2 linked regions of the Macaca mulatta genome follow. The protein of the gene in region 2 purifies or fractionates together with the protein of the main gene of each other region. This does not show direct contact. Links are inferred from orthologs where the notes say so. Each region holds a gene or a part of one and is shown on either strand. Other genes may lie near its edges. The genes, in order: DSG2 and JUP.

Region 1 (3,822 bases), on a different chromosome or scaffold from region 2:
TTTAATATGTTATAAGACACCATACTAATGTTCTATATTTATGACACATAATAAATTTTCACAATATTCTATTGTTGTAGGTCTCAAGCACAAGAAATGAAAATAAGCTGCTTCCTAAACATCCTCATTTAGTGCGGCAAAAGCGCGCCTGGATCACCGCCCCCGTGGCTCTTCGGGAGGGAGAGGATCTGTCCAAAAAGAATCCAATTGCCAAGGTATCTCCTAAAGAGGAACATGAAATATATGCATATGACTAAAATGTGGTATGAGAGGACTTTTATGTCTACTTTAAGATTTAAGGAAAATTTAGAATGTGCTTACAGAATTTTTAAATATTCAAGAGATATCTGAAAATTAGCAGAGCTTACTTTTTAGCATAAAGTATCAACTTTAAGATTCTCTTTCCTATTCCGGAAGATGCAGCATCATTGGCAAAAATATAGATAACTCTGAGCTTTGATTTAACTAAGAGTAAAGGGATTTGGCACTGGTAACACAGAGTGTTCAGTGCTCAAAAGAAGATGTCATAAAATGTCATTTTCAAGATGACCTGGTGTCTATTACTAGGTAAGGTGACCATCTTCATTTGCCTGAGACAGTCATGGTTCATGCCTGTTGTCCTGGCTTAATAATTAATATCTGTGTTTTCACTCTCAAGGGGTCGAGTTTTTTTGATAAATTATGTGATAGTGTTGCTACTCTGTATTTCAAAGTTGGCATGCACAAACATAAACCCTTCATTTTTCTCCCCCCAAAGCTTTTCTTCGTAAGTTCTACCCATTTTGGTAATTGATGCTATAATTCTCTCCCGTTTTTCAAGCCAAAAATGTACCACACACTATCAGTTCTATTCCAAAAATATATTCCAAATCTGCTGCTTCTCTTCAACTCCACTGTCATTCCCCTAGTCCAAGTCTTGTCATCTCTGGCCTGTATTACCAAAGAACTTCAGAAGGAAATTGTCCATACAAATATATACCTATAAATTACAGAGAATCTCTTCTCAGGCTTTTGGCTAAGATCAAATCTAGTAAATTACAGAGAGTTCAACCTGAAACATTCCTGTTATTTTTATGTTAGATACATTCTGATCTTACAGAAGAAAGAGGACTCAAAGTTACTTACAAATACACTGGAAAAGGGATTACAGAGCCACCTTTTGGTATATTTGTCTTTAATAAAGACACTGGAGAACTGAATATTACCAGCATTCTTGATCGAGAAGAAACACCATTTTTTCTGGTAAGAAGAATAATTTTACATTTATTAGTTTGTAGTTTTCCTTTCATAATAAGTATCATTTGTTTTTTTTTTTTTTTTCATAGTATGGTAATTTAGTTTTCTTAGCTTAAATCTAATCTTATTTATTATTTATGTCATGATTTCAGCTAACAGGTTACGCTTTGGATGAAAGAGGAAACAATGTAGAGAAACCCTTAGAGCTACGCATTAAGGTTCTCGATATCAATGACAATGAACCAGTGTTCACACAGGATGTCTTTGTTGGGTCTGTTGAAGAGTTGAGTGCAGCACGTAAGAGTCTTTTTTTTTTTTTTTTAAATAAATACTAAGATTATTTTATCCCTGCTGTAAATAAACACTAAATTTCATATCTTAGTGAAAGTTGAGTATTACCTACAGAACAAATAAGAAACCTTTCACTCTAGGTTGAGAATTGCTTTCCTTATAGGTTTAAAGGACTTTACATGCCATTGCTTTTACCCTCAGAACAGATAGGGTAGATTAATGTGACAGATAAGGTGTCTGTAGCAACTACTCAACTCTGCTCTCTGCAGGAAAGCACCATAGACAATATGTAAACAAATGAGCCTAGCTGTGTTCCAATAAAACTTTATTTACAAAAACAGGCGGCTGGTTAGCTTTGGCCCTACAGCTTTGGCTATAGTTTGCTGACCTATAACTTGTATTATTTTTACTGTAAGGTTTATTCACAACATTGTTCAACACAGTGCTCTTCATGAGGACTCGAATGAGAGATTTCTTTTGGACCATGATATAAAGAATAGTTACGCTTCTCCTGATTTGTTTGTATCTTAATAAATATCAGGATCGTGTACCTGTTCATGTTACTTTCTTTGTATTGGCTACTAATACTATTATAAAGAAATCTGTCACCTTATATAGCAATTTTTCAGGACTCCACCCTCAGCCTTGCCTTCATCTTGTTTTTCCTGCTGTTGTATTCCATTCACGCTTACGTCCTCATCCAGTTAAATGTTATATTGTGGTCAACTGCATGTGATTTTGATAAGCACCTGAAATCTTTTTTGGAACAAGCTAAAATTATAAATAAAATAACAGGTAAGTGTGTTTAAAGTTGCGTTTCATCTTAGACATCTTTATTTCCAATGCCAGATACACTTGTGATGAAAATCAATGCAACAGATGCAGATGAGCCCAATACCCTGAATTCTAAAATTTCCTATAGGATCGTATCTCTGGAGCCTGCTTATCCTCCAGTGTTCTACCTAAATAAAGATACAGGAGAGATTTATACAACCAGTGTTACCTTGGACAGAGAGGTAAATTAATATGTTATGTTGCCCATCTTTAAACTCTGTATCCTTTCCAGTTTCTCCTCTCTTTTTCTTATTTTGTTCTGTATTCCTTATCCATAGGATAACTCTTGGAATTACTCTCTTTTAGGGATGGGCTGTTCAATATGGGCCATGTGACTATTGAGCACTTAAAATGTGACTGACCCAAATTGTAATGTGCTGTATGCGTGTTGAATGTGTAATATAGGCACCAGATTTGAAAAACTTAATATGAAAAATGCAGAATATGACGTTAATGTTTTTCGTGATCATTGCATGTTAAAATAATATTTTAGATATCATGGATTACATAAAATATACTTGTTTAAAATTGTTATCACATGTTTCTTTTTAAAATGTGACTACTAGAAGATTTAAAATTACATAAAGACAGCACCCTTCTAGGGCCTCTCCTATCAGGGTTTTGTTTACTAGAGATTCCTAAAACATTTCTCAGTTTGCAGTTCTCTAACGAAACATTAGGAGGCTCCTACACTGCTAGTACATAGGAGACGGTGAGGAAAGGGATGAAAACAGGAATCCTAGTTAGAGGATAAAGTATCTGTAAAGGAGAGAATTACTCTAAATCCCAAATTGAAGGAAAATTTGAGTAGGTTTACTAGGAAGGCGTTTCTCTCAAAGATTTCACTTTGTTTAACTCAAAGGGAAATTTTTAAATAAAAAGGGGAGATCGAAGATTTTTTAAATGATGTATACATAAAGGTTTTAACAGGGTACAAGAGTAAAGTGTCATTGATCCTAAAGATACACTCTTTGTCATCAGATATAAATCATCATCCAAATGCATTACGTTCAGTATTTCTTAGAAAAATGATTTAATTCTGCCCAAATTGGAAGGATTGCGCCCAATAGGCTTAAGGGGATGTTTGTAAAATTAAAGAATATGATTCATCTAAAATTCTACTCTATACCTTTTCACATAAAATTAGAATGGAAACGTGTTACTTTGCATTGGTAGTGTGATTTTTAACAAGCTGCTGTTTCTAAAGGACAGAAAGTTTAACCAATAATAATGGCTGTTAACTTACTGGGCATTTACCTTCTGCCAGGTACTGTTCTAAGCCTTTTTATGGATTAACCCATTTAATCCACATAGAAACCCTGTGAGGCAGATTCACTTATTATCCTCATCTTATACATAAAGAACCCAAAGGTCAAAGGGATTAAGTGCGTGTCCAACACAGTCAGTAAGTGACAATGCCAGAATTGGAACCCAGGCAGCTGGCTCCAGGGTCCTGGTGTC
Region 2 (3,822 bases):
GGGGAGGAGGAAGGTTATGACCCGGACTCCCCTGTATGTGACGAGTCTGGGGCCCTCCTCAGCTCTGTGGAAGGGTGTCCCGGCCCCTCCTTAGTGCTCACGTCCTCGCACCTGCCTTTGCCCTCCAGGTGGTGGTGACTAAGGCGGCCATGATTGTGAACCAGCTATCAAAGAAGGAGGCGTCGCGGCGGGCCCTGATGGGCTCACCCCAGCTGGTGGCCGCTGTCGTGCGCACCATGCAGAATACCAGTGACCTGGACACGGCCCGCTGTACCACCAGCATCCTGCACAACCTCTCCCACCACCGGGAGGGGCTGCTCGCCATCTTCAAGTCGGGCGGCATCCCTGCTCTGGTCCGCATGCTCAGGTACCCACCCCTGCTCAGTGCAGGAGTCCAGGACCCCGCCTCACTTGGGCCTCTCCCCTCCCTTCCCTGGGCTTCCATAAATACCCAGCGAGCAACTATCATGTGCCAGGCAGAGGCACACCCCATCCTGGTGCTCAGTGGCTCACAGCCCAGCAGGGAACACAGGCATGTAAACAGCAGGTTAATGATCAGGATATGACACAGGCTGTGGCAGAAGAGCATTGAGGTTGCTCAGAGGTGGAATCGCTTAATGGCAGGGGATTAACAGATGAGTGGAGTTTGGCTAGTGTGGAGGAACCGAAGAGTGTCCCAGGCAGAGGGAACAGCAAATGCAAAGTTCCTTACAAACTTTCTGTTTCTGGGCCCCCTACAAAATGTTGATTGGTCTCATTTCTCGTTTTTTTTGAGATGAGGTCTTGCTGTCGCCCAAGCTGGACTGCAGTGGCATGATCTCAGCTCACTGCAGCTTCCACCTCCCAGGTTTGAATATTCCTTCTGCCTCAGTCTCCTGAGTAGCTGGGATTACAAGTGTCTGCCACCATGCCCAGCTAATTTTTTTTTTTTTTTTTGAGACAGAGTTTTCCTCTTGTTGCCCAGGCTGGAGTGCAGTGGCGCAGTCTCAGCTCACTGCAACCTCCGCCTCCCGGGTTCAAGCGATTCTCCTGCCTTAGCCTCCCAAGTAGCAGGGATTACAGGTGCCCACCACCACGCCTGGCTAATTTTTGTATTTTTAGTAAAGATGGGGTTTCACCATGTTGGCCAGGCTAGTCTTGAACTCCTGACCTCAGGTGATCTGCCCGCCTTGGCCTCCCAAAGTGCTGGGATTATAGGCGTCTGCCACCATGTCGAGCTCAATTTTGTATTTTTAATAGAGACGGAGTTTCGCCACGTTGGCCAGGCTGGTCTCGAACTCCTAACCTCAGGTGATCCCCCGCCTCGGCCTCCCAAAGTGCTGAGATTACAGACGTGAGCCACCGCGCCTGGCCTCATTTCTCATCCCTATACCAGGCTGGGAGCTCCATGAAGGGGAGACACTGATTTCATTCCCCTCTGAACACCTTGCAAGGCCTCTCTAATATGTGGCCTTCCACATGGTAGTTACTTAGTAGGGATCAGTGTCTAGGGACCTGCTGTGTGCTCAGCACAGGGCTGGGGGCTCAGAAGCAGGAGGAGTCATTGTCTCAGTTGGGAGAAGACAGGTGCTGTTTGCTTCATGCTTAAGAGCCGGGCAGGCTCAAGGAGTGATGAGATTTTAGCAAAGGGATATTTCCAGAGGGGTGTCAGTAGTGGGGAGGCTTCCTGGGGGAGGTGGGAACCCATACCAGGCTCACATGTATGCCAGGCCCCTGGGACCTCGGCATACTAACCCCTGCCCACCCCCCCAGCTCCCCTGTGGAGTCGGTCCTGTTCTACGCCATCACCACGCTGCATAACCTGCTCCTGTACCAGGAGGGCGCCAAGATGGCCGTGCGCCTGGCTGACGGGCTGCAAAAGATGGTGCCCCTGCTCAACAAGAACAATCCCAAGTTCCTGGCCATCACCACCGACTGCCTGCAGCTCCTGGCCTACGGCAACCAGGAGAGCAAGGTGGGCCCTCCCCAACCCTCCTGAGGCCTGAAGCCCACCCTTGCGTCACCCTCTATCCTCCACAGCTTCGGGCTGCTGCCCCTTACTCCTTTTAGATGAGATATAGGGGCAGATGTGCATGCTTCATCATGCGACTGAATTGGTCAGAATTATTATTTTGAGCATAAGGAAAAAAAATCACTCATCCTCATACAGCCACTATTGTCATTTCGATATGCTCCGTTAAGAGCTGTTCTGTGGGCAGACTACAGATGTGTGCACATTCTTGTCATAACAATCTGCAACATTGCATCTGTTTTCTGCCTGCTTTTTTTTTTTTTTTTTTTTGAGACAGGGTCACCCAGGCTGGAGTGCAGTGGTGTAATCAGGGCTCACTGCAACCTTGACTTCCTGGGCTCAGATGATCCTCCCACCTCGGCCTCCAGAGTAGCTGGGACTTCAGGCATGTGCCACCATGCCCGACTAGTTCTTTTTTACTCTTCTTTTTTTTTTTTTTTTTTTTTGAGATGGAGTCTCACTCTGTCGCCTAGGCTGGAGTGCGGTGGCGCAATCTCAGCTGACTGCAACTTCCGCCTCCCGGGTTCAAGTGATTCTCCTGCCTCAGCCTCCCAAGTAGCTGGGATTACAGGTGCCCACCACTATGCTCAGCTAATTTTTGTATTTTTAGTAGAGACAAGGTTTCACCAGGTTGGCCAGGCTGGTCTCAAACTCCTGACCTTAGGTGATCCATCTGCCTTGGCCTCCCAAAGTGCTGGGATTACAGGCGTGAGCCACTGCACCGGGCCCCCGACTAATTTTTTGTAGAGGTGAGATTTCTCCATGTTGCCCAGGCTGGTCTCAAACTCCTAGGTTCAAGTGATCTGTCTGCCTTGGCCTCCCAAAGTGTCAGGATTACAGGTATGAGCCACTGTGTCTGGCCTGCATGATGTTTAAAAAAAATTGTTTTTGCTCTGTTGTCCTCAAAACCACCCTCTAATAATGACAGATTGCCTTTCCTTTCCCCTTTCCCCTTTCTTTTTCCTTTTCCTTTCCCTTTTCCTCTCTTCCTCTCTTTCTTCCTTCCTTCCCATTTCTTCCTTTTCTTTCTTTTTTGAGATAGGGTCTCACTGTGTTACCCAGGCTAGAGTACAGTGGCATGATCCTAGCTCACTGCAACCTCAAAATCCTGAGCTCAAGCATTCCTCCCACCTTAGCCTTCCTGATAACTAGGACTACAGAAACGTACCAATGAGCTAATTAGCACCTGGGCTAAGTTTTAAATTTTTTATGGGGATGGGGTCTTGCTCTGTTGCCCAGGCTACCCTCAAGGAATCCTCCTGCCTCAGCCTCCGAAATAGTGGGATTAAAGTCATGAGCCACCATACCTAGCCTACAGATAGCATTTCATTAAGTGGAGACCTTAGGCTTTATTCTGAGGGAGGGTATTTAGATTGCTCCTATTCCACCTTTATAAACAATGCTGTCTAACGAATTAACGAATGTCTTTGGGCATATAGCCTTTGTCAAAGAGTGGAAAAAATTCTCATTGATTTTTAACAGTTCTAGGCTTTTACCCAAATGGCCAGACTGATTTCCAGAAGGATTGGACTAATTTCCAGTGCCATAACTGGTAATGGATGTGCATATAGTTTTGTCACATCCTTGTCAGCACTAGGTATTATCCTTTTTTTCAAAATTTTGGCTTACATAACAGTCATGAAACTATTGGGGTGGGCTGGGTGTGGTGGCTCACGCCTGTAATCCCAGCACTTTGGGAGGCCGAGGTAGGTGAATTGCCTGAGGTCAGGAGTTTGAAACCAGCCTGGCCAACATAGTGAAACCCCATCCCCACCAAAAACACAGAAATTAGCCGGGCGTGGTGGCACATG

Evidence for each region.
Region 1: the proteins of JUP (region 2) and DSG2 purify together in Homo sapiens (affinity purification with western blotting; 3 studies listed by BioGRID and IntAct, with this or other methods). This does not show direct contact. The link is inferred for Macaca mulatta from reciprocal best matches to the Homo sapiens genes JUP and DSG2.

Annotation. Positions count from the first base shown.
Region 1 is NC_133423.1:60,985,118-60,988,939, reverse strand, and holds part of DSG2 (desmoglein-2), read left to right. Parts: intron 1-80; coding exon 81-215; intron 216-1,080; coding exon 1,081-1,242; intron 1,243-1,388; coding exon 1,389-1,533; intron 1,534-2,376; coding exon 2,377-2,543; intron 2,544-3,822.
Region 2 is NC_133421.1:66,096,161-66,099,982, reverse strand, and holds part of JUP (junction plakoglobin), read left to right. Parts: intron 1-128; coding exon 129-367; intron 368-1,752; coding exon 1,753-1,954; intron 1,955-3,822. UniProt on the Homo sapiens protein: Common junctional plaque protein. The membrane-associated plaques are architectural elements in an important strategic position to influence the arrangement and function of both the cytoskeleton and the cells within the tissue.